4 linked regions of the Diceros bicornis minor genome follow. The protein of the gene in region 2 binds, or shares a complex with, the protein of the main gene of each other region. Links are inferred from orthologs where the notes say so. Each region holds a gene or a part of one and is shown on either strand. Other genes may lie near its edges.

Region 1 (7,016 bases), on a different chromosome or scaffold from region 2:
ACGGAACTTTAACCACTTTGCCACGGGGCCGGGACCGGGGCAAGTTTTATATACCATACTTGTGCTATTTGCTTCTAGGATTTTCAGCAATTTTTGGAGTTTAGCATCAACTCATTTTTTTTAATTAAAAAAATAAACATGAATTTATGCTTTAAAAAAAGCCAAATAATACAAAAGTACATCGGGTAAAAAGTTAAAGCCTGCCCTGCTTCCATCTCATTCTTTTCTTCAAAGTAAAACACTGTTAAACAGTCTGGTGTGTATTCTGTAGACCATTTTCTAGAACATTAGACACATACCCACAAATACACCCTGAGTTTTTGTTTACATAAATGACATACTAATCATTCAGTTCTGCTACTAGCTCTTTGCACTACACCATACTATCTCTACATTACATCTACACTATACTTGTAGTTGAATGCCCATAGATATTAAGGTGGTAGAGTGATGGGAAGCTTGGCTCCTAATTCTAATCTTGGTTTTGCTACTGTATGCCCTTGGTCACGTTAACCTTTTGGTGCCCAATTTTCCTCATTTATAAAGTGCATGAAAATAATAGTATCTACCTCATAGAGTTGTTACAATTATAGAAGTTGCAAACTTTACCTAAGATGAATGCATGTGAAGCACCTAGAAGGGCTTAGTAGTAACAGCCATTTAATGGCATTGCCTTAATATTATACTATTTTTACTGGCTGTGTAATTGTTCTTTCCTGCTGATGAACCATTTAAATTAGTCTCAAAATGTGAATGCCTCCAAAGTGGGGTTCTAATGGAGTATACTACTGTAAGCATTTAAGTACATCTTTTTTGCTTGTATTGAATTATATTCTTAAGATAAAATGTCTGTCAAAGGCTATGCATATCTTTATATATTTATGGCTTTTGCTAAGTATTGCTTTCCAAAAGCCTTATACTAGTTTCAATACTAATATCAAGGAATTATTCAAACCTTATAGGCAGGATTTAGAAAAATTTTGCTACCTTAGTAGTCGTAAGATGGTATTTCAAATCTATTTTAATTTGTACTTTTTGTGTCCTTGTGTGCATATTTATTCACGTACTTGTTTATTATTTGCCTTTTTTCATTCATTCTACAGTTATTGTATTTACTGAGTCCTTATTCTAGGGACTGGGGATGAGGCAATAAATAGAACAGACAAAAACCTACTATGGGAATGGCTAATACAGCTCTATTAAAAGTACAGTCTCTTAGATACTATATTAAACCAGCATAAGCTTTTCAAACTAACATAAGCAAACCTTGGGAGTCTTTGGCCTTTGCAGGAGGATAAGAAGTAGGTGTAGCCATGTGAAACATGCTCCATTGTACACCTTCCTGCTCATTTAATACTAATGAAGCAATTTATTTAAAGATTTGGAGTAAGAAAGTACATTAGTACATAATTTTTACAATTAAAAACATGAATATATTTGTCATGGAGTAGAAAGAAAACTTTACATGAGTTTTTAAAGATAAAATACTTTTCAAAGGAATTTAAAACACTCGTCCTCAACCCCTATCTCCCCTTGGTATTCAGTCCCCTATACTTCAGAGGAAAAACTTCAGAAGCATTAACATATTCAAAACCAACTCACCGTTGAGGAGTAAATGTGTGACAATGAGAAGAATGTCCCTTTAAGTGTTTTCAATTTGGTGATTACAAATAAAGCCACTAGAAACATTTGTTTTCCAAAGTGGCTGTTCCATTTGCATTCTTACCAGCAATGTGTGCAAGTTGTATTTGCTTAACATTTTCATCTACACCAACACTTGCCTACTCAGTCTTTTTTTTTTTCCTCATTCTACTGTGTAGTCGAGTCTCACTGTGGTTTTAATTTGCATTTCTCTAAGGATTAATGATGTGAAGCATCTTTTCATGTGGCTTATCTGTCATTTGTATATCTTTTTTTGGTGCAGCGTCTGCTCTAATCTTTTGCCCATTTTTTTTACTGCGTCTTTTTTTCTCATTATTGAGTTGAGAGTTCTTTATACATGCTAAATAAAAATTCTTTATTAAATATGTTTTGCTAAAAAAAACTCCCAACTCTCAGGTTATGATATATTTGAGCCTGTGTACTCAGATGACCGTGAACCACTTTAACTCCACACTTTGTGTTTTTATAACTGATTTAAATCAATTTACAATGTTATCTTGCTCAGGAATTATGTTTTTCTCTATCTCTAAAATGAGGGGGATTTAAAACCAAGGGGATTTAGTTTACTGTCAATATCTAAAATACCTGCATTCAAGCTCAAAAAAAAGGTATTACGTATAAAACTGACTATAGCCTAAAATATAGCAGAAACTCTGCTTCCTGTTAGGATATAAATAAGCAGAGTAATGTATGACCCAGGAGTAAATAAGAAAACAGTATCTTTAAATGACATTACTTTCTAAATTAGGTTTAAAAAAAAAAAAAGTGAACCAGCAACACACTAAGAAATGATTGAAAAGGTGTTTTAACTTCCCAGAACCCATACCTTGAGAAGGAACTATAAAAAGGCAGGTGTTTTAAGTTTTGAAAGTATTGCATGCAAGCCCCCCTTAATTCACATTTGCACCTGCATCATTTGCAAAAATTGATGCGTAAAATTTCAAAATAGCAAAATGTAAGATTGTTACAATATTAACATGTGGTTTAATCCCCTCTGCAGCAGACCATGTTACCTTGCAAATTGGCATCCTTTACCATTTCTAATCGTTACTATAGATAATCTACTTCAATGCTACTTGAATCGAGCAGTTAGTTTTTAGACTTGAAACCTCTAGCGTAGTTGCAACTGCTAGAAGTTCCTCCGGTGCTGTTCCCCGCTCCTCCCGTCTCTCCTGCGAAAGGAGGTCACCTTCTACTGTTGACTACCGTACTCATTTATCTGGGCGAAATTCCCAGCCCGTTCCTGTCTTCCTGCATTGTTCTCCTGGATCTGGGCTCCTTCACCGCGCACATTAGTTATTTCCCGTAGAGCGGAGAACGTAAGCACTTTGAAGACCAGTCGCAGACTTGGATTATTTCCCTTTTCCGTTCCAAGCACGTCTCCAACTAAAAACTTTTTTCACCTGTCACACTCCTGCTCATTCTTGATATTCAGTTTCCTGTCACAGAGTTTTCGCTACTCCAGTAGCTATGATGTCTGGGCAAAAATAGCTCACATTTTTGCTTAAACAGTAACGGCCGCGCAAATTTTATGGTTAGATTAGTCTCTAGTCCGAAGACCGCGTCTCCTAATTAGTGAGGCGGGATACACCCGAGGAACGAGGAGCTTTGGCGGAGAGAAGGCTGCGGGCACGTGTCCCAGCTGCGCGCCCAACCCTCAGGAACACTGTCGCCGCACCCCGGGAAGTTTAGGCTCCCGCAGCCGCTTCCGGACCCGCCTCTCGGGTAGCACTGGAACTCGCTTTCCCAGCAGGCTCCGCGCGGCCCCGGCGCCCCCGCCCCCTCGCGGTGCGGCGCTCGGCGCGCTCCGGGTTCTGTCGCAGGCAGACCCGCGAGCCCCGCCTGCGGCCCCACCCCCTGGCTCCCAGCTCCTTCCCAGACTCCCGCGAGTTCCAGTCCCGGCTTCCAGCTCCCCAGCTCCGCCCCCAGTCGCGCGCGCTCTCCCCGCCCCGCCCTCGTCCCTCCGCGTGCGGCCGCCACAGCCAATGAGGTTCGGGGCCGCGTGCGCAGATTCAAACGGCGGCTCTTGAGGGAGGCTGGGCGCGAGATTCGGCGGTGCGGACAAAACCCTGCAGGAGGCTGCGAGCCCTGCAGAGCTGCTTGCTGCGGGGAGAGGGCGGGGGTCGGCGCCCGCGGCGGAGCCGCGCTGGGACGGCAGCGAGGAGGCTGAGAGGCGTCGGGAGGGGCCGGCGGAGGGCGGGAGCGCGCCTGCTGACATGTTGGGGGCATTCCTGACCGGGCCGGGCCGGGGCTAGGAGCGGCGCTGCGGGCCGGGGGCGGGTCGCGGTCTGCCCCTCCGTCCCTCCGTCCTGCCCTGCCGGGGACGTGCGTTCCGTACTCGGTCGCCTCGGAGAGGGAGCGAGGCAAGCGGCGGGAGGGTCGGGGAGAAGGAGCATTCGCCTGAGGCTGGAGGAGGCTGAGCTGCGTCCCCGCCCAGCCCGCGCCTATGCGGTACTTGAAGGATGGCGAAGAGGTCGCGCAGGTGGGTGACATCCCTTTCGCCCAGGCTTGTCGGCACAGTCTCGGCTCAGATTCTCTTTCCTTTCCCGCTGCCTCCCCACCACGCCCTCCCCACCCGGGGCAGAGGTTTTCCTTCCCGCTGCTCCACAGCCGCTTGGGCCCGGCTGGCCGGAGCGCAGCCGTGACGTGTGGAGAGTTGGGGACCAGTGTGGTTAAGACGCAGAAAGTGAGTAAGAGATGCCCGGGTTGCTCCTTTGAGTTCCTTCTCCCCGCAGCGCGCGTCCAGACTCCTAATCGTTCACAGCAACTTTTTGGGGGGAGTTTCTTGCCAGGTGAGTCTGCGCTTTCAGGGAACGCGCTACGCAGATGCAAGTGGTAGTGTCCAGCCTGGACGACCTGACAGTGGTGTTCAGAGGGACTCTTTTTTTCGGAATTACTGTACCAGTTAAAGTAGGAACTCTGATAAACTTGGGCGGAGACCCCTCTGCCATCTTTGCTACCTTGAAAGGTATCTTCTGAGGAGTAGCTGAGGAGAGAGGACATTTTCCATGTTTTCTGTAATTACCATACCCATGTTCGCAGCTTTATGTACATATTTTTAATATCTTCCACTGAGAAGATGTCACACTGTTACTACCAGTAGCTTGATCTTAAAATAAAACAATGTATTTGATTTACTTAATATTTTGACTGTCCGTGTTTGGCTGTGACTGTACTTAAGTGTTGCACAGAAGTAGGGCACTTTTTTTTTATTGGAAAACTTGCTGGGATGAATTTATGCATCTGATTTTGATCTATATGTTACTGTAGTGGCTACTCCTAAATCACGTGTAGTAATCAGTTAGATGGCAAAAAACTAAGGTGTCTTTTAATTGTCAGTATTATTAAATAAACCAGAAAAGATGTTTGGCATGATTTCCAAGTGGTTTTGTTTATCTGAATCCATAGCCTCAAAGGCTTAACTAGATATGTATTTCCTAAATTGAGATTTAGTACTGGGATTCATTCATTGCAGATTTCTGTTAAAAATTGGCAATAATTACACATAATATTTGTTGCTTTATTCATTTATTAAGCACCTATTGTATGTAAAATGTTTTGCAGGAATCTGCATAAAATATAATTAAGTCCCTGTTAGTTTATTATTTTGTAGCAACTACAGTATAGGTCAAACTCTTGAGGTGGAACAAATGTGCGCACACACAGACATAAACCCACCTCTCTAGAACAAGATTTTCAACCTCGGCACTATTGATATTTTGGATCAGATAATTCTTTGTAGTGGAGGGCTGTCCCGTGCTTTGTAGGATGTTTAGCAGCATCCCTGGCCTCTACCCAGTAGATGCCAGTAACACCCTACTTCCCCCAGTCGTGACAATCAGAAGTCTCTCCAGGCATTACCAAGTGTCTGTTAGGCAAAATCACCCAGGTGAGAATCACTGCTCTAGAATGTCAGGAACCCAAATAATCTCTAAATCTTCAGAAAAGGTAGATATTAAAAGGTCCTGTAATTATAATTACTGAGGTACTGGTTTAGGCCTTTTCTTTTGAATTTTTAAATATACAAAATTTAAAAAATAAAATGACTTCATTAAGCAAGGTGACAAGTGATTATTTATGTCACCTCAATAACAGAAGTTTGTTTATATTCCATGTGTGGCATTATCTACTTATCAGTGTTGATGTGAATCTTATTTGAAATAGTTTCTTGGCTAATGCTGTCATCAGCATTTAGTTATGGTTGGACGTGGAGGCTTGAATGTCAGAACCCTGTCTTCTGCAATTGGTTTTCTGTCTATTTCAGAATTTGTGTATGCTTCATAATAATAGACTAAGAGAGAAGAAATGATTTTATGATTAATATGCTTGTATAAGTTATTTTCTTTTACTGACAATACTATGAGCTTTGAGATGTAAACATTAATTTTACTGTTGACTTTTATTGCTTGTCAGCCATATAAATTAATTGAAACATTCAATTAATTGAAACATTAATTGAAATCATATTATAGAATGATTAAAGAGTCCTAAGTCTGGGGTAATTAAATGTGGTGGGGTGAAGTTACACTCTGTATGAAAGTATTCAGATAGAAGTGGTAAGAAATTACCACCTCTGAATGGTATATTACTTAGGGTCTTCATACTTGAATGTTTCATGTTCTAAATTATATTTCTTGTACGTGTAAATATGACTTATTTATCTTAGAAGATAATAGAATGTGAAATATTTTGAAGGGGAAATAATCTGTTCATTGGGCAAATTCTGGTTTCATGGCCTTTGGCTAAATATCTTAATATTAAATATAAACCTAATTTATAATTGAAAAAGAAAGGAAATAATTCAGTCACTTTAAGATCTCTGCTATACAACCATTTAAGTATTTGAGTATAAACTATACTTTGCTGTATAAAAGTTTTGCATAAGATTATAGGCATAAATCCTGTAATATACTTTTTCTGTATGGTCTGAAAAAAAAGTAAAAAACTGTTACCTCAGGTGTGAAACAACTGAAGGATGTTGACTCTTTTGATCTTTTAAGATAGCTGTAGTATCTCTGATCTATATTTACATAAAGGAAAAGGCTCATTTAGTGTCGTGACTTTATATAGTTTTAGATCCCACTGGGGGGTTTTAATGACGTAATTTACAGGCAGTACTAAAATTGTATATCTGTTATGAACATGTATTGATTTTTAAGCATGTTTATGTATTAAGTAATTTTAGTTTTTAAAGCCAGTTCTACCCTCAGAAATAAACTTTAAAAAATGTCATTTAGAAGCTAGAAGGCCTATTTAAGTAGTAGTAGATTCAGGTATTTACAGTTGAGACCTGTGACTACTCTAAACTGAAAAGATAAAAGCTAGCTCTTGAATTGGACGATGTTTTTCAGTGG
Region 2 (7,625 bases):
AGGCCTAGGGAGGGACAGCAAGATGGCCCATGTCACTCCCGCAAAGAGAAAGCCAGGCCTGGAATGCAGGTCTCTCCACCCATGGGCAGTTTTTCCTGTGCTCGACTCTTCTGGACCTATCTCTCTTTCCTTGTGCTGCTGCCTCAGGCGCCCTCAGCCTCAACGCCCACCTCTCTCACCAGGCCCACCAGCCCAGCCTCACCAAGTGGAAACAGTAGTTCTTCTCATATTTCATGTACTTGAGGCATTGCTCACAGAGCTGGAGCTGGGACTGTTTCCCATAGTCTTCAGGGAACAGCGAGAAGTAGGAGGCATTGATTTCGTATTTCCGATGTGGATCTTGTCCACATACGTCACCTTGATGACCTGTGGGCAAGGTGGGAGTGGAGGGCAGTGGATGGCTCAGCTGGGGCAAGGAAGGCAGGGGGCAGGGAGTGCCCGCAGTCAGGACCCCCAGCCCTGCTTACCGCCTCATGCTCTTTCTCCAAGGCTGCTGTGGTGGGGTCCATTTCTCCATAGGTCTGGGCAAGGAAAGAGCAGTGGACAGAGGTGAACAGAAGTGGTTGGCGGTTCCTCCCTCGTCCCAGAACCCAGTGCTTCCCTCCTGTCTTCCAGACCTCATCCCCTGAATGACAGTTAGAACCAGAAGAATAGCTAACTTGTTTTACTTGGTTTTGAAGCTGCCTGGTCTAAGCTCCTCTCCTGTCTGCCCACCCACCCATATATCCCAGATAGCCCTGATGCCTGATTTGGTCTTCTTGCCAGATGAACAGGGCTAGGATCAGGAGGCCTGGATCCAGTCCAGTCCTGGGATTGATAACAGCTTCAGCTGTACAATGGGATTATCCAGCCCTGCCAAAGCTGTGAGACAGATGAAATAATGGATCTTGTCTTCCAAGCCCATAGCAGGAACTGGTGCCGACTCCCCTGTGTGCTTGGACCTCTTTCCTGAGCACCGGCTGCTTGCCCATGGGACAGCTCCCAGAGGTCCCTCCCACAGGCACATCAGACTCTAGGTGTCTAGAAAGAAACTCAACCTTTCCTCCCTGCAGACCTGTTTGTCCTCCTGGTTTTATTCCTTATACCTCACATAAGGTGTTTATTCCTTTTACCTCACATTTACTTTCTATTTTTAGGATGAATAAAATATTTTATCATAAAAAGGACTTTAGGTTTGTTTGGTTTTTTTTTTTTGGTGAGGAAGATCGGCCCTGAGCTAACTTCCCTTGCCAAGCTTCCTCTTTTTGCTGAGGAAGGTTAGCCCTGAGCTGACATCTGTGCCCATCTTCTATTTTGTATATGGGATGCCGCCACAGCATGACTTGATGAGCAGTGCGTAGATCTGCACCCAGGATCTGAACCTACGAACTCTGGGCTGCCGGAGCAGAGTGTGCAAACTTAATCACTGAGTCACCAGGCCGGCTCCTGGGTGTGATATTAAGAAGAGGTTACTTTTATTAAGGATGGCTGTGAAATCCTTCTACTGCCCTAATCAAGTCATTTCAGAAATGAACGGAGGAGAAGGTTGTGTCCCTTGCTGAGGAAATTCCAATGCTTTGATTCTACTTGGCCCTACCTATTAATGTGATTAAACTCCACATGATAGGACTGTCTCTGGAAGACAAGGCTTTGATTTAACACATTTTTCTCTTAAGTGTTTTTTCTTTTATCAGTCACTGGATGGATTAGCTGTGAAAACAGGATGCTTTAAAAAAAAAAAAAGTCATATCGGCAATTGTCCAGACAATTACAGATCTTTTTGTATGATAAAAAGGTTTCACTAAGGACCTTGTTACTCAAAGTGTGGTGTTTGGTGAAGTAGCACCAGCACCAGTTGGGAGCTTCTTGGAAACGCAGACTCTACACCCCACCTCAGACCTACCCATTCCAAGTCTGAATTTTAACAAGATCTCCCAGGGATTCCTGTGCACGTTACAGTTTGAGAGGCGCTGGTCCAGGAGTCCTATAGGTCCACCTACAGAAAGAACATCCAGCTCCAGGAGAGGGGCAGCACATGGAAATTCCTCAGGTTGAACTGTGACAGATCTCTCTCTTTCAGATCCCTTTCTTTGTTGACCCGCATATTTATACGTAGAGACTTCACTTATTTATGCTTCTCTCCTCTTTCCAGCTGTGCTGGGCTGTGGCACTCCCCTCCATTCAATAAAAACTTACTGAGCTTCTCTTAAGCACTGAGGATGTGGTAGTGAGTAGGATGACTGGCCCGAATCTCAAGCAGCTTATAGTCTAACGGGATACAGATACCAAGTGAGTAATCACAAGTTTGATGAACGTTAGAAAAACAAAATTTTATGGGAAAAGAGCTGGAGATGAGGAGTCAGAGGAAGCTTCTCTGGAGAAAGTTTAAGCTTGGATGAGAAGGCACATGTAGGTAAGGTGTGGGTGAACAGGGGGATTGCTCCAAGCGCAAGGGATACCCATGAACGGCGCTCTTTGGATGTTTATGTTTGTATTTCCAATGCCTTGTGCTGATCTTGGCATACAATAAGTGCTTAATAACAGTTCGCGGAATCAGTAACTGTTCCGTCATGTTTCAGACGTCTACTCTCTGGCATTGGAGATAGTGGAAGCTTTATTTTCCTTTTCAAAGGAAATAAGATCCCTTAATGGGGAAATGAGAAGGAAGAGAGAAAGCTGACTGTTGTGCAAATTGCTAAATTGGAACTGTGAGTGGGAATGAAAAATTGATTTACATGAATTTTTCTCCCTGAAGCAACTTGACAATTTATTCTGTTCTGGAGAATTTTCAGTTTTTGGCTTCAAAACCAAGCTGTTTCTTATTCTGAATTTCTTGGCCTCCTGTGAAACTAGCATTTAGTGTCTTTTACAGCATACCCTGATTAGGTCATGGAAATTCACAGCTAGATCAAACCAGTACATGGAAAATTTGAAACTTTCACTGCCCATTTTACTTAGTGGTGTTGGAAGGTGTTAGGAAAGACTGACTTTTAATTCATTTTTTTCAAAAGCAATATTATCGAATGATCATACAATTGCCATCATTTATTGAACACTTACTATATGCATTACATAGCAAAATCCTCATATTAACTCAAGAGAGTATGTTGAGCCATATGAAAATTGCCAAATATTAGCAATTTCATATGGCTCAACTTAATATTATCTTCAGACTCTCACCTTAGAAACTTATAAATAGGTTAGAGAATCCCTAATAACCATGGCCTTACTCCAAAATTTAGTACTGAGTTTTCTTCATAGATAGAGAGATCTCGAGAGAGTTACAACTGCTTAGTAACATCCACCCCTCTTACCTCCATTAGCCAAGCGCTCTGTGTCTACTTTTATTATGGTTGTTTATACATTGTCCTGAGGTGGTTTACAATCCATCTCCCCTGCTAGACCGAGTTCCTTGAGGGTGGAGGTTTTGTCTGTTTTGCTCAGTTTTGTATCTTTGTGCTTAGAGTGTCTGAAAAGTATTCGTTAAACTGAAACTTTAACAAAATTTCTTTGGAAACTAAATAAATCTTATTGCTTTTTACTGGAAAATGTAATCACTTTTGCATTTTTGAATCAGTCTGAGGAGTATTCGGCATTCTTGAACTCCTAGGACTTTATCTATGTACAATTATGCAGAAACTGTCTCTCCACCCCTCCCCAGAGAAAGGTCCAAAGGTACTCTCTCACCTCCTTTAGGTATTTACTTAAATGGCACCTTTTCTGCCGCCTTCCCTGAGCGCCCTATTTGAGACAAGCAGTCCCTCAAACATCCTCTCCGCTTCCCATAGTACGTATCAGCATGTAACATAGTTTATATTTTGCTTATTTCTTTTTCATATTGTCTTTCCCATCCAACTAGAATGTAAGCTCACACATGATTTTTCACACAGGCACATAATTAATAGACAAAATGTTTTAATATTTAACTAAATGGACAGGTATTTGGGGGTGTGGGCTGCGATTTTCTTTTAAGTTTCCACGTGACATGGTGACCCGGCCGGTTTGGATCTTATTTGCGTAGGTGTTGAAGAACCCACGTCTAGTGGTCTGTAACCCATTATCTGAATAATTACAGGGTGTCCCACACTTGGCCCCACACGTGGCCTCACAGTCTCTCGTCCCCATCCTCCTCCTCCCTGCTCTCCCGGGCGACCCATCTAAAGGCCTGGGGACCGAGGTGTAACCGCTCTTGTTCCCCTCTTTCCGAGAGAGACGGGGTTTTTCTGCTTCGGGCTTGGGCGATGCGGATGGATGGAAAAGTCAAGATTCCCACCCAAGCCCGGGGGAGGGAGGGGAAGGGCGTGTCTATAAATTTTAGGCCTCAGGCCTGTAGCCCGCCCCGAGGCGGCTGGGGAGAGGGCTGGCGCGGTCCCTTCGGGAGACCCATGAAGCTTCTCGGGTGGGTAACCCGGGGCTGGGCAGAGCGCGCGAGACCCCGCCCCTTCACCTCTCAGCCCCCTCCTCTCTGTGGGGAGCCTAGGGGCGGGGTTTGTTTACTCCTTGCACGCACCGCTGGCCCCACCAATCCGTGGGGAGCGGCGCCTTACGTCACTCATCCCGAAGGCCAATCGGCGCTCACCGTGCTGCTCCGCCGCCAAAGCTCGCGCGGGGGAAGCGGGGCAGTGGCTGGGCTGGGTGAGGGCGGACGGAGGCGCCAGCGCTCTGGGCTGGAGTCGCCGCCGCCGCAGCTCGGCACGCGGGGCGCGCCCTGACCCTTCGTCTCTGGGCAGGCCCGAGGGCGCGCGCCCGGTCGGCGTCCGGGGGCCTCGAACTCCAGGGCCTCGACTGGGCAGACCGCGGATCTCCCACCCCCGGCCCGAGTGTGAGTCCCCCGGGACCGGGCCGCCGCCAAGCGCGGGCGCCACAGGAGCGGCGGGGCCCGAGGACGCGCCCCAGGCTCGGAAGAACAGCCCTGCGCGGCCGCCTCGTCATCTGCAGCCGAGCGGCGGTAAGGGCCGGGCGGGGGCGCGGGCCCGGGGCCAGGGCCTCTGGACCCGGCCCGGCGTGTTCCTGGGCAGGTTACCCTCCCTGCGCCTCGGGGCCCCCATGTCACCCCGACTCGCATCTGTTTGTTCGCACGCGTTCTCCCAGGCCTGACCGAGTAACCCATGCGTGTCTGGAGGGGGAGTCGGAAACAAGAGAGCCCCACACACCACACCACACACACACACACACACACACAGCACACTGGGGGCAGGCGACGTCCCTGAGTCATGCCTCGTGTTAGAGAGGAAGAGCTGCTTTCTACTTTCTCGGTGTCTTCAGGGCAGAAGGATGGCTTCTAAGTCTGGTCTTCTGGCTTTTCTCCCTTTCATGACCCACACGCCTACATCTGTCTCTACTAGGTGTTTTTCAGGGTTCCACAGCTTGGTGCGCTTGTAAGAACCTCATAATCCCCATAGGGGGACTTCTCTCTAAAGTAGAGGATCTGTTTGTGGGCCCAGACTCCTTTGAGAAGTTCCAGAGAGCTAAGATCCCTCTCTACAAAAAAAAGTAGAAAGGTTTTTGCAGGATCTCACAGAGAGACAGTTCAACAAAGTGAATGAGCGCTCAGCTCTGGTACTAGCTTGTGTTCCCTTGTATTGTGTGGTCTCAGTTTCTTTATCTGTAAAATAGTATGTACCGATTCGGGGTGTTGCGAGGAGTAAATGGACTAATCTGTGGAACGCATTTGGAACAAAGCTCACCACGTATTAAGTGCCCTGCATGAGTTAGGCGTTTTTATTATTGACTACCGTGAATGCTGGTTTAGAAAAGTTCCCTGTATTGTTTCTCTTTTTCTTTTGAAACAGTTAACAGGCTCGTCCCTTCCATATTCACTGCTGAAGCTCCCTTTGAATACTTTTCTCTTCCTCATTCTATCTCAGAGGGCTCAGACTCCCTGTCCCACTTATTTGCTCTCTTTTTAGTAAGTCAGTAGCTCATTCTCTTCCTTTTCCTGTCTCCCTCAAATCTTAGTTTTGTGTTTTTTTATTTGACTTCTATAGCCTGACTTTTTCTGGGCCACTTTTATTTTCTCTTAATGGCCTGAAATCATCTTCACCTAATAAATATAGGTGAAGTTATTCATCTGTCTTCTATACAGTGTAATCATGACCCTGTTTCTGTTCAGAATTAAATATAAAATAATTTAGGTGGTCTGATATTGCCTGTTGCTTTTCCATTTCATTGGTAGCCTATAATTTAGCTAAAGCTTTATCACTGCCCTATTACTGTAATAAATCTTTAATAGCAGTGTCCCTTCTCAGGTAGCACCAGGAGAAAAATCAAATGCCCAGACCCCGGAGTCTATCACCCTTGTGTACTGGCTCTCCATGCATTTGTTATTTATTAGAACATCTTGTGCCTGGAACTAGAGTCTAGTCCCATGGCAGACATGGTGTCTGTGGCACTGTTCTGGCAGTACAGCTGCAGTTTCAGCAATGTGGTGCTTATATTTGTTAATAAAGGCTCAAGACTTATTCAACTCTTACTTTTGAGTTCTCTTTATTTCTAGTTGTCTAATTAAGAGAGAAAATGGAGTTTTTCAAGTATATAATACTTCATATTACCATTTTGTAGTCTTTTAACCCCCTCCCATCTCTTTTAAGTATGTAGTCCAACTGGCACCTTCAAGTTTTTCCCTTGCAGCCAAAATTCTTAACTGTCTCAGCTGTGTCCTCTCAATACAACTTGAAATTGGATGTACAGATATGTTCATCCTTAATGTGGAAAGTATTTGTGGATGAAAATTATACACTAAAATGCATACTAAAGGATTCAAATATTGCTTTTTATAATTAGGAATTGAAATGTGAATATACATTTGCTTTTTTTTTTAACATGATAGACTGGCTTTGTTTTCTTGCTGTTGATAACTTATGTTTTATACATAATGCATGAGTTATGTATATTTACAAAGCACCATTTTTAAAGTCCTTTTAGATGTATGAAAGTTTTTAGAACAAAGTAAGGAAACACGCTAAGCCAAAATTAAATTCATGGCAAAGATATTAGAATCTAAGTATTATGACTTCTAGTCCATGGTTTCTTGGTCTATCTTAACAGGAACAAAGGATGGAAAGGGAGAGTTTAAGATGAAGTTTTAAAAGCAGAGGGAGAAATTTCTAATTTGGGCATTAAATATTAGGTATTGGGTAGTACATTAGCATCTTATTTTTTATTTTTAAACTTAGGTGTGTTTCTTTTAAAGGTTAAGTAATAAGCCATACTATCTATGAACTTACTAGTAATCAGTTTACATTGTCACTTGGCAAACTTGACTTTACTTTCCTTCTGACCTTGTTGTATTTTAAACTCTTATAGCAATAGGTATCATAATGCATCTCAGAACAAACTAGAAAGCATACACTTGAGAGTTTTTTTTGGGTCATAGAATTTTAGGTTGTAATGAATTTTAAAGGTTATTAAATATACTCACCTCTTCTTCACACTTGAATCCTTTCCATTTTAATCTGGGATACATGACTCTAGGGATGAAGCATGAAGAGATTTAAAAGTAGATTTGTGAAACCTTGGAAATTTTATGCAAAATTATATACACTTGTATATTTTTCTGGAGAGAAGATTCAGTTTCGTAGTTTCTGAGGCGAAGATATTTGGACAACTCTAATTTTTATAAAATTATTCCTTTTACTGAACTAGAA
Region 3 (7,339 bases), on a different chromosome or scaffold from region 2:
GCCACACATTGCAAAGAGCGAGTAAGTAAGCACAGGGCGCTTTGGGAGCACAAAAGGAGTGCCTAACCCAGTCTTGACAGGCCAGAAGTCTCCAGACCACTGACCCATAAATCTAGACCTAAAGAACCATGGGAGGTAACAGGAAAAAGTGTGTTAAAAAAAAAAAAAAAAGGCTCTTTTGATAGGGGGAGTGTGGATATGTAGGGGTACAAAAGAATAGGGAAATACGGAAAATTCAGCAACCATAAGCAGTTCAGGAAAGATAAACCCAGGGCCTGGATTATATTAAGAAGTTTCTACTCTATCCTGAGAGCACTGGGAACCATGATAGATTCTTTAAGCCAAATGACATGATCAGAAATATGCTTTAAAAAGACCATTATGGTTAGTTACTACGTGGAGAATATACAGAAAAGTTGGGGGCAAGGCCAGAAGCAGCAAAACTGGTTAGGAAGACATTGCAACAATGCAAAAGACAGATGATGTTTACAAGTGGCAAGTATTGGTGATTAATTTTAATCCGATTGGGAAGCGGGAGGGGGTCAGTTTGAAAAAAGGAAAAGGCAAGGATCATGCTTAGGATACTAGCTTGGGCAATATGGTGGGTGTGGTACCATTTATTAAGAAAGGTGACAGCAAAGTTGTTGCTTGCTTAGGCAAAACGAAAACGAACTCAATTTTGGATATACGAGTTTGAAATCTAAGTAGAGATGTCTGGCAGACAGCTGGAAAGCTCTGAGCTGGATTTACAGATTTGGGAATTATCATGACATGGTAACTGAACATACCACAGTGGATAAGAATATCTAAGACTTCAAGGGATGTGTGTATCTTCTGATATTAAATACAAAATTAAGTGTTTTTTCCATAGTGAGAATTCAGAGCTTTTATCAAATTCTCAAAGATTAACACCACCAATACAGATGGCACCAATATATGTAGAGGGTAACAGAAGTCATGAGAGTGGTGAACGGCATCCCACATGAAGAATGGGTAGAGAAGGTTAGAAGAGACCCCAGGATGACATCAATAGGTAAGGAATGGAAAGAGTTTGCAAAAGAGCACAGGAGAGGCCAGACCAGTAGACGGCGCATCAAGAGTATGTGGTGTCAAAGAAGCCATTCAAGGGCAAGGGTTTCCAAAAAGAGTGAGCGGTCAATCATGTCAAAACTACAGAGATAAGGAGTGAAACATCTGCTAGAATGGACAAGCTTCTGGTAACCTTGGTTAGAACACTCTTACAGCTGTGCTGAGGGCAGAGGTCCCCTGGCAGTGGGTCATGGTCATAAGGAGAGGTGAGCAAGTGGACACAGTGAGTGCAAACAATTTTTTCAAAGGTTGGCTGTGAAGGGGTGGAGATAGAGATACAGTAGGAAGAGATACAGTAGACTGAAGGGCATCAGGAACTAAGGGAGAGAACTTTTAAGACGGGGATGGATTTAGGATGCAGTTTAAGTAGTCAAGAATTTATCATTTGGAGCCACACTAACTAAATCCAGGCTTTTCTGCATACTATCTAACCACAGGCAAGCCACTTAAGATCTCCAAGTCTATTCTGGCAACTGTCAAACAAGAATCATCATCTCTTAGGACTGCAGCTGAGGAGTTAAATTAGATAAGGCTCAAACTATTTTTGAGCACTGAGTTCCCATGAAGACTGGCCATACTGACTTCGGTAAAAGTTTAGTTACTAGCTATGGGGGAAAAACCAGCAAAGAAGTTGAAAATATGGGGAGAAATGGAAAATGACGGCTTCATCAAGAGCCCTACGAGCCAAGGAGAATTTACTGCCATCTGTCTAGAGCAAGAATAGGGGAAATTACCGGGCCGGCCCGGTGCCGTCGCGGTTAGGTTCGCCGCTCAGCTTTGGCGGCCCCGGGTGCGCTGGTTCGGATCCTGAGCGCGGACCTACTCACCCCGCATCAAACCGTGCTGAGGTGGCATCCCATACAGAGCAACTAGAAGGACAACTATGATGTGCAACTATCTACTGGGGCTTTGGGGAGAAAAAAGATAAAAAAAGAAAAAAAGAAGGAAGATTGGCAACAGATGTTAGCTCAGGGCCAATCTTCCTCCAAACAAAAAAAAAGAATTGGAGAAATTAACCTTTTGCAGAAGGGAGCCCACTCTCTCTTCCATATTCTCTGTCAGACAGGACTGAAGACAATCTGCTGAACCGGGAGCTGTGGGGCGGGAAACGCGAGGCGTGGACAAGGTTTTAAATGGCTGCAATCAAGTAGGAGAATAGGAGAGGAGGTCGCAGGGAAGAAGACAAGATAGCTTGCAGAGACACACGGAGGGGCCAGGGGAAGTAGGAACACACGCTCTTCTAACGCAAAGCTGGGCAATTTTCTCCAGCAGGGCTCTGCAGCCCCGAGGGAAAAGCCAAGGAGGCTGACAGCACATTTGCGAACAGGTGTAGAAAGTAGGAGGCGAGAGTCAAGCGAACGGCCAGTCGGGCTCACAGCACAGGCTGGGCAGCGCGGGAGCCGGGAGCCCGAGGAGCAGCCAGGGGCCCGGCGCAGGGGGAGCGCACGACGCGGACGACGTCAGCGCGGCTGCCCCGCGGAAAAGAGGCGGCGGCCGGGCTCAGACGCACCCCGCGCCGCGCCAGGGCCCGGGCGCTCCGGCCTCGGGCCGTCCCCGGGGCTTACCAGCAGGCCCTCCACGTTGATGGGGTCTCGGCAGCGGCGGCGCACCGTCTCCTCCGCCGGGTCCACGAGCAGGCTGGGCAGCTTCCGCGCCGGCCGCTGCTGACTCATGCTGCCCAGCCGGCCGCCCCGGCCCTCGCACCCTGCGCGCTCTCCCGCCTTCTCCCGCTCGGGTCGGGCGCCGCCCCCAACACGCCGGTTCCCGGGGGCCAAGCGCGAACGGGGCCCGTGGCCTGCTCAGAGGCGCCGCCTGGCCAGGCCGGCCCGCGGACGAACCCGCCACTGCCCCACGACCCCGGGAGCTGCAACACAGGCGGGAGAGGAGCAGGGTGACCCAGGGCCCTCAGGACGCCAGGCCCGCCATCTTCCCGCATGCGCAGTGCGCCGCCCCCAATGCGCATGCCTGCTGCTGCCGGGACGCTCCCACGCATTGGTGCTCTCCCGGCGGCCGGAGCCCAGGAAACCCCGGACGGCGGAATCTACGGAGAGGATGGCGACGGAGAAGGAAGAGGTGGAGCAGGCATTCCTGCGGAAGGGAACGGCGCGAGAGAAAAGAGGCAGCCGGGAAAACGCCCTTGTCCCCTCGGGATTCGCTGCACTGATGACACTAATTACTGAAAGTTCTGAGTGCGCGCGGATGTTCATTTATTCTTGAACTCCCTCCGCACATCTCGGGCGCTCGCCCAGTGTTGATGCTTAGTAAATGTCCGTACCCAAACCGTTGTGGAATTGTTTTCTCCTATGCTTCTTTTTTTTTCTTCCTTCCTTTCTTTTTCGTTTGATAAATGAAATATTGATTACCTGCCATGTCAGATATTGTGGTGGGCACAGGAGATACTCATTTGAATTTGGCACAGACTCCATCACACATTCCAGTGGAAGAGACGGATGAATCGAACATTTTAAGCTGGAGCCAGAAGGTGTGTTTTCAAATCCTGGCTCCCTCTACTTATAAGTTACAAGACCTTAAGTAAGTTACTTAATCACTCTGTGCCTCAGTTTCCTCATCTGTTAGATAGGAATAATGACAATCCTTACCTCATAAGGTTGTTGTGAGGATTAAATGAATTAATGAATATAGATTACTTAGAACAGGGACCAGCTCATGCTTGGAATAAAAAAACAGAATGTGGTAAGTACAGGGTGGAGGGCAGCAACTGAGCCGGGTGGTTAGACCAGGGGCTTCTCCCCAGCTTGACGTGGGCCAGGGAAGGTTTCCGGAGGAAGTTGACCCCCTGTTAGACTACATATAAACTTCTTGAGGTCAGAGCCTTTCTCTAATCTTTGTATCTCCGGCATCTAGCACAGTGCCTGGGGGTGAGAGCTCAGTAAATGTTTGTAAATGAATGACTTGAAATAAAGGATAATCTAGGGGAAGTCTCCAGAAGACTGAATTTTGTTGCACAATGGAGAATTTCCCAAAGCGGTTAAAAGACATCTTTACCAACCGGAGTCCCTGAAGCTCTGGAGACCAGAAATGGCTGTTTTTAATAAATAAGACATAGTCCAGCATTTGCTATAAGTTTGGCATTCTGCTAAATGTTCTGCATACATTTTCTCATGTATCTCTTGTATCAAAACTGAAAGGTGTTTTTCTGCCTAATTTACAGATCAGGAAAATGAAGATTAGCAAGATTACAAAAATTACCCGAGGTCCTGAGGGGGCAGTGGGAGAGGCAGGATTTGGCTCCACAGCTGATTAATTTGGTATGCTGATCCTTGAGAAGATTCTTGAAGGGTGACTAAGAGTTTCCTCAGCCAGAGATGGGGTGGAGTGAGTGAGGGTGGGCTGCGGGTCAGGGTGAGAGGCACTCTAGGCTCAAGACAGAGCATGAGCCAGCTGTGGAGAGTCAGGGCGATGACACAGCCTTCCAGACTGTTATAATACCTGTGACTTGGCTTTACCCTGAGACGTAATCATTTGCACATTTTTGGAGCATGTGCCTGGCAGTAGAGTCGGTGATGAGGGGAAAACTAAATCCGATGGGGACCTTACCTTGTGCTCCAGCATCCCCTAGCCCGGTGGAGACACGTAACCAGGCGCATAAGTACTAATTTAGAATGTGTATAACATGCTATGGGAGCACAGAGGAGGAAGAAAATAAATAACTGAATTTGGCATAAATCACAGGTGCTTTTTCCCATATCTCCCTGTGAGGTAGATATTTCTAGAATACAGATGAGGATACAGCGGCTCAGAGAGGCTCAAGGCCACCTGGGGACTCAAATGCAGGACTTCAGCCACCAAATCCTTTGCTTTGTCCTCCATGCTCTACAGTGGTACAAACACAGTTCCCAGCACAGAAAATCTAGTATTTCCCATTTCCAGTCCTGTTTTTATGTGTGCTTCCTGGGGCAAAATGGCACTAGGGCAGAATGAGGTATGGCTCTTGGGACTTGAAAATTAGGGCCGAAATATAGGCCAAGTGCACACGTGTGCCTGCGGAATGCAGAGAGGCCTTACCAGTCATAGGATGTTTTACCTTCCTCCTATGGTAAAATTTCCTCCCCAGAAGTCTGTGAGGAAATGATCATGTCCAATAGGACTTCCTGCAATAATGGAAACATTCTGTGCTGTCCAGTATGGTAGCCACTAACCCCATGTGGCTGTTGAGCACTTGAAATGTGGCTAGTGAGTCTGAGGAACTGAATTTTAATTTAATTTAATATTAATTTAAATAGCTGTGTAACTAGTGGCTACCATATTGAATAGTGCAGGTGAAGAAACTAAAATTATGGATATAATCTGGTCCAGGGCTATTCCAAGGGTGGTCTGTGGCCCTCAGCATTGCTATCACCTGGGAGCTTGTTAGGAATGCAAATTTTCTGGCCCTACCCCAGACCCACAGAATCAGAAACTCCGAAGATTTGGGTATACTCCGCAAGGCACTGGTCTAATCCAAGCTCTTCTTTTATAGATAAGGAAACTGATCCCCACCCCACCCCCAAGGGCCTGATACTCCAGCTAAATTGAAGCCAAGTTAACTTTTCTAATGCAGTATTTCAGGACTGGGGATTTAGAACAATCCAATGGCACCGAGGTAACCTAATATTTCCTAGGTGTTCCGACTTTCTACATATGCCTCGCCCTCCCGTGTGGCCCTTCTTAGACCTTAAACGACGGGAGGAGCAGTCAAATCGGAGGCCAGGAGAGTGGTGAGGAGGCTGTGATGGTCGCTGAAAGGGCAGCTGATTATGGCCCGACTGTGCCGGTGTAGTGAAAATGGAGAGAAAAGGACAGACTCGGGAGATGCAAGACAGCAGCAGAAGCAACAGAGCTCGGGGGTTGGTTAGGTTTGAGGGAAGGCTGGCACTGAAGATGGCAATTTGGGTGCTTGAAGTCCAGGAACAGACAAGATTGTTCATTGAGCGTGAGTACAGCGAAGTGGGGCAAGGCCAGGGGGCGGAACCGGAGAACAGCCCGCTGAAGGGGCCGGCAGAGGCTGTCTTAACTGTTTACAACAGGCATGATGTGTTTCTGTTTTTAAACTAAACAATGACAACAAAGGGAATTAAGAGGGAGTAGCCAGGGAGACAGAAGGTGAATCTGGACTCTGAGTGCCTCAGAGATTAAAAGAAGGAAGGTTTTCTCTTTGCTTTTTTTTTTTGTGTGTGTGAGGAAGATCGGCCCTGAGCTAACATCTGTTGCCAATCCTCCTCTTTTTTGCTGAGGAAGACTGGCCCTGGGCTAACATCCGTGCCCATCTTCCTCTACTTTATACGGTACGCCGCCACAGCATGGCCTAACAAGCAGTGCATCGCTGCACGCCGGGGATCCGAACCCTGGGCCACGGAAGCCGAGTGTGTGCACTTAACCACTACACGACCGGGCCAGCCCCTCTTTCCTTGCTTCCTTCCTTCCTTCCTTCCTTCCTTCCTCCCTCCCTCCCTCCCTTCCTTCCTCCTTCCTTCATCCTTCCTTCCTTCCTTCTTTTTCATCCTTCCTTCCTTCCTCCTTCCTTCCTTTCTTCCTTCCTTCCTCCTTCCTTCCTTCCTCCCTTCTTCTTTCTTCTCTCTCTCTTTCTTTCTTATTTCCTTCCTTCCTTTTTGTTTTTTGAAGATGGAAGAGACTTGCGTTTTTCAATGTTGATGAGGAGGCGCTCATAGAAAGGGAAAGGCTGAAGACGCAATAGAGAAAGGGGATGACCTGAGAATGCTGACAGGATGAGACACGGAGCACAAATGGAGGACGCACTTGGAGACCAGAGGAGGATGCCACTTACGCAGTGGCAGGAGGACAGTATAGGGACAGAGGCAGGACAGCTTGTAAAGTGATTTCGGCAGGAAGTTGAGGGAGTTCATGCTCTGCAAAGCCAAGGTCATCCGCTGAAAGGAAGAGGAGGTGGTGGAACTGGAGATGTAGGCGACACAGCAGGCACTCCGTGAGTATTTACGGAAAGAGGAATTGATGGATGGATGGGTGGATGGATGGATGGGTGGGGCACAATAGAGAAGACTGACTTGGAAAATATAATAGGATTGCGGGGTCACGCTGGAGATTACCTCTGTGGTCTGTGGCTATCTATCTCACAGTGTCTCCAACGTACACATCCTCCTGTGAGAGTTGGAGGAGGGAGAGGTGTGGTAAAAGATGGCAGAGGAGAAATGGTGGCTGCGAGGACTGTTCCTGTTAGTTTTCTGTATGTAGTAGTCTGGGTCATAGAACCTTAAGAGCAGGAAGAGGTCTT
Region 4 (7,887 bases), on a different chromosome or scaffold from region 2:
TTTCCTACTAGCAAACCTACAAAACTGACCTGCACCTATACCCATCCTTTTTTCCTTCCTCCCTCTTATAATGGAGAAGACAGCTAGCAAGCACGGTGGGGACAAAGTGACTGGGAGACAGAGGTGCACAATCAGTATCTGTGGACTGACTGAAGAGGTGTCTGTGCTCCAATCTAAGGCTAGTCTCTGCACCTGTGCTCTGAAGCCAACCTTTCCTACTGCCTGACACTTCCATCACTTATCCTTTCTTTCCTGTAACTTAAACCTCTCTCCATCCAATAGCAAGAGTTCTCTATACTAACTACCTTTATTTCCTAATCTCCCACTAACTCTTCAATCTATTCCAGCTTTCATGACTGAACATCAGTGACTTTCTACATCCCATGGACTCTTCCCAGTCCTCCTTGTACTTGATCTCTCAGCAGAGGTGATACGGTTAAACATGGCCTCCTTCCTCAACCTCCTTTTCACCTATCTTCTGTGATGCCCTGGTATCTCTTCTATTTCTTAGGCCACTTCTTCTCTGCCCTCTTTGCCGGTTCATTCTCCTCTCCCTGGCCACTAACTGTTCAAGTTCCTCAAGGCTTGGTCCTAGGCCACCTTTTCTTCTCATTCCACGTACTTTCCTTGGGTAATTTCATCAACCCTCGTGGCTTAATTATCTAGATCCTGATGATGCCCAAATCTGTAGTCTTCTGCCAGAATCTTCCTCTTCAGCTAATACCTACATAACTGTCTTCACATCTCTACTTGGATGTTATTTAGCTACATATTCATCCTCCCACCAACCTTCTATGTTTCCTGTAGCCCACCTTTCAGCGAATGGGCCTACTATTCACCTTGTTGCCCAACTAGAAACCTGAATGTCACCCCAACTCCTCCCTCTCTCTCCACATTGAATCAAACAAGTCCTGGCAATCTGTTCTCCTAGAAGTCTTTGGAACACGCCCCTTTTTCTCTACCCCCTCCTGCCATCACCCCAGTCTATATTATCATCGTCTCTCATCTGGACTTCAATATTGGTTTCCTAACAAGTCTCCCAGCCTCCAATCTTAAACCTTCTGAATCCATTTCCACCACATAGCCAGAGGGTCTTTCAAAACACAATCTGGTCCATCACTCTCTTGTTTAAAAACCCTCCAATGGCTTTCCACTGCCTTTGGGATAAAGACTAATCTTGATGTTGCTTAGAAGACTCTACATAGTATCTTTACTTCTCTAGTTTCATAGCTTGCCACTTTCCTCTTTGCTCTCTTTGCTCTAGCCATTTGGAACATGTTTTGTGCTCTCTCTAATCTTGCACATGCTGCTTCCTCTTGCCTGGAACTGTTTCATCCCATTTTGCTTGGCTCCTACTCCTTAGCTCCCTACTTAGCCATGACTTTGGGTATAGGTGCAGGTCAGTTTTGCAGGTTTGCTGGTAGGAAGTTTTCATCTGATAGTTTCTGTTTCCTTTGAAGTAGGAAAAACAGAATTAACTCCTGAGAGTGAGAGGGGAAGTAGCAGAGTTGGAAATTTTTAAGTCTCAATCTCAGGTCTAGGCTAAGTACCTGATTGGGGAGTTTATAAAACACCTGAATTCCTCTAGTCCTCATATCACATTATGGAATAATACTTTTTTAAATCATTAAGTCTGTCTCCTCCTAGATCACCAGATGGTTCTGTCCTCAGCCCCTAGAACCATTCCTGGAATAAAGTAAGCACTCAGTAATATTTTGCAGGATGAAAGAATGAGTACTACCAAGCAATTTTTTGATACAAATTTTGTTTCATGTATACTCTCTTATAGGGCAGAAAATGCATGCATCAGCCAGCTTGAGCATTCTAGGCTACTTAATTTTATTTTTTCATTTGTATACAGCTTCCCTGCTGCAAAGAGGGCATAAAAGGCACTGCATCTGGTATAATAAAACATTATCATATAGTTTTTGACAGGTTAGATCTCTTTTCTTCATTTCCCAAGAAACACTTGTTAGCACTGTTGCTGAAGAAACTCCCCTACGTCCAGTCACACCAAACTTCTTGCTGTCTAGATGTTGCTATTACCTTTACCAGGAACTCCCTTCTCCCCTTGGCTAAAGGCCTGCTAGTCTTGTAAGACTCAAGCCCAGAGCCACCCTCTTTTGGAAGCTTTTCCTGAATTGCACAGGTTGAGTCTGGGGCTCTTTCCCTATGTTCCTGCAGTAGCCTGTGCACTCCTACTGTTTAGCACTTATCATTGCATTACAACATGGGAGCTTTCAGTGAGTATTTTACTTACCTCTCCTTTCCCAAAGCCTGGGACAGTGCCCAACACAGAAAGAGATGACAAGATTTAAGTCTTGAATTCTCAGCTCCATCAGTTACTAGTTGGGAGACCTTAGATGACCTTAAGTGTCAGGTAACTCACTTCATTATATTCATTAATTCTAATCTTCACTAATATTCTTAAGAGTAGAAAGTGGTGGAGCTGGGATAGTATCCAAGTATGACTGTGAAGCCTGTGCTCTTTCTACCACATCACTGAGGAAAGTCACTGAGTTACTTTAAGACTGGTTTTCTTATCTCTAAATGGGAGTGGTAATATTACAAGGAGCAGAAGTTTTACTAGCCACCATAACGGAGAAGATACGCTGAATACTTAAAATAACTGAAGACGTGAACTCTCTCCTTTACAGATCCTTTTGATAGTCCTTTAAAATTCATGACAGACAGATTCTAGACTATTCTTTATCAAAGAGTCATGTTACAGTAACTCCTAGTTGGCTAAGGATTACTATTTCTGTTCTTTTCCAGGTCAACCCAGAAGTTTCTTCAAATGAATCAGAAAATAGGTCTGTTTCCAAAATAAAGTACATGGGAAAGGAGACTTTTTTCCTTGATGCAAAGGACAAAATACTTCTTAAGGCTCTCAGTGATTCATTGTGATGGCGGGGAGGCAAAGGAAAAAAGTCCATTTGTATAAAAGATTTCAAGGAGAAGCTGGGAATGAAAAGTATAGGGTGGAAACTTTGTTTCCCTACTTCTAAAAAAAGATACTAGAAAAACAGAACTAGGATCACAGCAAGAAATATATGACTGAAGCCAGACCATCTGACAAACCCTTCCAACCCACTCTCTACACTGTCTCATTAAATAGCGTATTTAAACATGAACCTTTGCTGATTCTGCTAAGAATCTTAAAAGTGCGAGTTTCTGCAGTGGAACTCACTGAAACCTGGTAAATAATAATATTATCTAAAAGTCCAGCAATACAGAGGAAGAAGTTCCCAGGTTGGATGTAATAAGTAAGAAGGTCAATGTTGTTTCTTGCAGGTTGGAGAATGTTGCCTGCAGTAAATCTTGCCTGACATTCTAAGTCTTTGCTGGGCTGTGAGCAACAGGGGAAAGGCTATGGACAGAATTGGAGATCACAGGCCTCAGGCATGAGCTCCTGTAGCTCTACCACCTCTCCTTAGGCTGGTTTAGGGGGGACCTAAACCCCTCCATGGGCAGAGTTGAGGGTGTATGTGCACATTAAGAGCTGACTTTGGGGCAGGAACTTGGAACTTACACTTCTTGTCTTCCTTGGCTCCCATTTTCTAGCACCTGTTTTAGAGATGTTTAGTCCCTTGCATGTGCTTGGAACAAACTGGTAGCATAATTATGTGTCCTTATTTACCGCCAACATGAACACTGTAACTTTGCTGAGAGAAAGTTTAACTGCAAGTCGGGGCAAGCAAGGGGACAGCCCACAGCCTGTGGAAAATACAAAGCACCATAGCTGGGGAAGAAAGCTCAGCAAATGGCTGCTTTGGGGGAAATCTAGTGTACACTTCTAGAAGGAGATTCAAAGTTCATTCTCTGACCCTCGCCCCTAGTGTGCCTCCTCCTCTCCCCTTTACCTCGGATTATAGACAGTGAAGTAGGGTGGGGGAAGGGAACAATCTGGACGCTCCCGGCAGGTGCAAGAGCTCTAAGAAAGGTGAGCAGAAGGGAAGTTTCTGGGAGAGAGGTGGCTGGTGCAGAGGTGAAAGGGAAAGACGGTGGGCACACCGAGAGAGGTGAGGGCAAAAGAGTGACAGCAGAGACAGCGCAGGGCTGGAGGAGGAGAGTGGGCTAGAGCCAGAAAAGGGGAGGCTCAAAAATAAAAGGGCGGAGGGCCAGGGGTGATAGTCCAGGGCTGGATCCAACGAGGGCAGACACGGAGTGAGAGGTGGGACAGGGCCGCACAGGTCGGATGGGAACAGGAGAGTCGGCCAAGAAGGGGTTGGTTCAGAGAGTGGATGGAAAGGACCCAATTCCTAGCTTTGCGACCCCTCGGCGCCACCCTCACTCACCTGCAGGATCCGGGCCCGCACTGCCGCCGCCGCCACCACCGCCGCCATGGTTCTCGCCCACCTCTTCTCCGCCTCCCTGGGCCTCAACTGGCCGAGACTCCCCAGACTCACTACAGCTGCCAGGCCTCGCCCCTCCATCCTGCTGCACCTCCTCATTGGTGGAGAGGACAATTTGCCCTAGCCAATGACTCGGCCTAACACCTGACTCCACCCCTCAGTCCCAGTCCTAGGGGTATGCGATTGGTCAGAAGTAGAAGGTCTCGACCCCTCCCACCTCCGCAAATTCTGTTGGCGGAGGTAGGGAAGACGTCCCTGACTTGGATGCTCTATATTGAGCACACCGGGAAAACGCCCCCTAACCGGGAATCCCGATTGGCCACAGGCACGACCGCGGCCCCACCCCCTCATTGAGGAAAGTAAATAACACTCTCCAAGAATTTGCCGTGGCTCCACCTCATCCGCCGCGCGAGGGGGTGTGGCTAGTATTAGGAGCGGGGCTAGGCAAAGATTGCCCTATGGGGCGGGGAAATGAGAGGGGGCTGCGAGTTTGGAATAGGGTTTCTCTTTGGGGGCGTGGCTTATGAGTCCTTGCTTTCCCGCCGACGGTTGGCCACGTCACGTGACATGGGTTGGAAGATGGCGTCTCCCACAGAGGGTAAGAGCCGGTTTAGAGATCCTTCGCCTACAGGCTCCTTTGCTCTCCTGGGAACTTCCCCTCTCCATCTGCCCCTCGAACTTACACCTCTTTCTCGGGCTCCTCTCCTTTCCGTTTCCTTGGGATGTGGGTGCGTCTTCAGCTCGCTGGTTTTTCACAGCGGCTCTGGAGGTGCGCAGTTTCCTCGCTGGGTACTAGGCGGGTGGAGGAGGGCACACGCGAGGGATCCATCCCGGGCCCTGCCCTTCCTTTAGCCCCATTTGGGTGAAGCTGAGGGCCGAGGAGGAGATACTGCCGGAGGAAAGGAGGTGCCTTACTGTAGCTTTCTACTTCTGCGGCGCCTCATTGAAAGGTCGGTTCTCGTCTTTTTGAGTATCTGAAATGATTCTCTCAAATCCTAGCTGGGATTGGTGGCTGACCTCATTCCTGGACTGGACTGCAAGAGAAACGTGACTCTCTCCTGTTTCCTCAGATTGGTACCGTTGACATGAGAGCCCCGAGGAAAATGAGAATTGAGCTTTTTAGTGTAGTCTTGCACACGTCGCAACCTTTCTTGCCGCTGCTTTATGTGTTATTTCCTCAGGCTGAGTGAATGAACGATTTCTGCTTATGTTGTCTAAGATACAAGTCATCTCAGATAGCAACTGAGTGGTTTTGGTATATGCATATGCGTTTGCTCTTGGTTCTGCTTTAGAGAGTTAGGGTCTTGCAGTCATTTCTGAACTCACTTAATTTTTGCTTCTGTCTCCCCCATCCCCACGTCCTTTTCATGGATATGTAGTGTTCCCTCCTCAACCCACCACGTTTTGTTAGGAAGGAATCTTGGAAGTTCATTTCAGGACTGAGGAAATATGAGGCCAGAAAAACTGTATTGAGTACCTACTATATGAAAGGCATAATGCTAGGTGTTTGGGGAGAGGAAAAGATTAATCAAACATGTAAACACTTTTGCAGTATCAGGTCTCATTTTAAATGTTGCCTCTCGGGGAGGCTTTCCCAGAATACAATATCCAGAGTTGCCTCCTTCACCATTATTCGCTATCTCAGTACCTTCATTGTCAGCATAGTTATTCTGTTAACTTTGCCGCTTTCACACGAGATTATAAATTCCAAGTCTGTCTTGTTCATAGTTGGATCCCAGGGCTTAGCACAGTGCCTGGCAAGCAGTAGGCCTTCAATTAACATTTATTGAAAGAGTGATTAGATATAGGCATAAATAATATATTACTTTGGCTTTGGTTTCATATTTAACTGAAAGTTTTTTTCAAGTTTTTTGAGTGCAGGTACAGACTATATAAGAAATTATGGGTGTTCGAAGTCAAAAGAGATTCTTTCTCCTGCCTGGATGCTCTCTTGTTAAAACGTTCTCTTGCCAGAAAAAAAGGGGGGGGGGGCGGCATTTAAAATGTCAGCCAAAGGAGTGGGAGTTATTGTTTAATGGGTACAGAGTTTCAGTTTGGGAAGGTGAAAAACTTCTGGAAATGCATGGTGATGTTGGTCACACAACAATGTGAATGTACTTAATGCCACTGAACTGTACACTTAAAAATGGTTAAAATGGTAAATTTATAAGTTTTGGAGATTTTAAAGTTATGTTCCTTGTGTTTGATTTTTCCCTGTCTTCTCTCAATTTCTTTTCCTTTCTTTGGCCGGGAAGAGTTTGGAAATGTTATATATTTTTTTCCTTTGATCTTCTAGCCATCTCCACCATCACTCTCTTTTCACTCTTGATTTTTAAAAGTTTTTATTCTCATCTTTCACAGAGTTTCACCCTTCTCCATCTAATATTTTATTTTTAATCTGACAAAATCAAGTGGAGCACTTTGAACTTAAATTCATCTTCTAAATAAGTATCACATCCTAAAATATTCCATTGCCTAGCTCCATCACTTCTGTTTTTAGGGCTCCACCTGTCTCTGTCTTTAAAATTTAATTCAAATAATGTTGATTTGAAAAAAGTTTAGGTCATTTATGCATTTATCTTTTTAAGGCTAAATTTACTGGGACTTCTTTGAAAAGGAGAGAATTGAAATCAAGTAAAGCTATCTAATTAGTTATTTTATGAGAGTAAGACTCACAGCGGAGTCTGAGTTATGCCCCAGACTGGTATCATAAGGCCACCCTTGTTGGTTGTTGGATCCTACCCCCAATAAGTTTCTTTTTGTTATGGTAGAGCTTCCCGTCAGTACCATTCCTTGGGCATTTGAAAATTGACATTTTGTGTTACACACAGCTTTTCTTTGTTACCATTTTTGGATGCTTTAGTTAAGGCGATGGATTGGAGTTAAGTTCTTTACCAATTAGAATGCCATTGGAAATTCTCTTAGAATATTTGGGAAGAAAATTCAGTTTAGAGAAAAGCACATATTGAAAAATTTTATACATATGTACATTTTCTGGGGAGTAAGTCCATAGCTTTTTTTTCAGATTTCCAAAGATGTGACTTGTCCAGAAAATGTTAAGAACTACTGTTTATATCATTAAATGAACTAATTTATGCAACTAGTTAGCCTATTGAGTATACAATATGTACTCAACAAATGTTAACTGTTGTTAAAATCCAACACCTACTGTGTGCCCAGGCAAGAATGGAGAGGAAATGGTGTCAAAGAATTAGTCAGGGGCTGGATCATGTAGGATTTTACAGGGCACGGTAGATATACATTCACGAATTTAGCTGGTAAGAAGTTCTTTAAGCTGGAGAGTGACAGGAACTGATGGACATTAAAAAAAAAACCAGTTCTGGCTACTTTGTGGAGAATAGATTTGAGGGTAGGGAGGGGAAGGAGTAAGAATGAGAGCAAGGAGACCTATTAAGAGGCTACTGAAGTAGTCTAGGAGAGAAGTGATGGTTTCTTGGATTAATTTGGTGTCAGGGTGTATTTTGGAGATAGAAAGTAGTGGATTTACTAATGGATTGGTTATGGAAGGGTG

The links.
Region 1: TFDP2 (region 2) and MYBL1 share a complex: the UniProt entries of both Homo sapiens proteins name them as parts of the DREAM complex. The link is inferred for Diceros bicornis minor from reciprocal best matches to the Homo sapiens genes TFDP2 and MYBL1.
Region 3: TFDP2 (region 2) and E2F6 share a complex: the UniProt entries of both Homo sapiens proteins name them as parts of the DRTF1/E2F transcription factor complex. The link is inferred for Diceros bicornis minor from reciprocal best matches to the Homo sapiens genes TFDP2 and E2F6.
Region 4: TFDP2 (region 2) and LIN52 share a complex: the UniProt entries of both Homo sapiens proteins name them as parts of the DREAM complex. The link is inferred for Diceros bicornis minor from reciprocal best matches to the Homo sapiens genes TFDP2 and LIN52.

Annotation. Positions count from the first base shown.
Region 1 is NC_080772.1:19,069,431-19,076,446, reverse strand, and holds the start of MYBL1 (myb-related protein A), read left to right. Parts: upstream 1-3,997; 5' UTR 3,998-4,124; coding exon 4,125-4,144; intron 4,145-7,016. UniProt on the Homo sapiens protein: Transcription factor that specifically recognizes the sequence 5'-YAAC[GT]G-3'.
Region 2 is NC_080741.1:11,623,627-11,631,251, forward strand, and holds the start of TFDP2 (transcription factor Dp-2), read left to right. Parts: upstream 1-4,625; 5' UTR 4,626-4,927; intron 4,928-7,625. UniProt on the Homo sapiens protein: Can stimulate E2F-dependent transcription.
Region 3 is NC_080751.1:68,834,111-68,841,449, reverse strand, and holds the start of E2F6 (transcription factor E2F6), read right to left. Parts: upstream 3,006-7,339; 5' UTR 2,763-3,005; coding exon 2,655-2,762; intron 1-2,654. UniProt on the Homo sapiens protein: Inhibitor of E2F-dependent transcription. Binds DNA cooperatively with DP proteins through the E2 recognition site, 5'-TTTC[CG]CGC-3'. Has a preference for the 5'-TTTCCCGC-3' E2F recognition site.
Region 4 is NC_080763.1:22,177,168-22,185,054, forward strand, and holds the start of LIN52 (protein lin-52 homolog), read left to right. Parts: upstream 1-4,881; 5' UTR 4,882-4,922; coding exon 4,923-4,953; intron 4,954-5,038; exon of another isoform or gene 5,039-5,057; intron 5,058-7,887. Other genes in the region: ALDH6A1 (methylmalonate-semialdehyde dehydrogenase [acylating], mitochondrial), read right to left, coding at 4,299-4,346.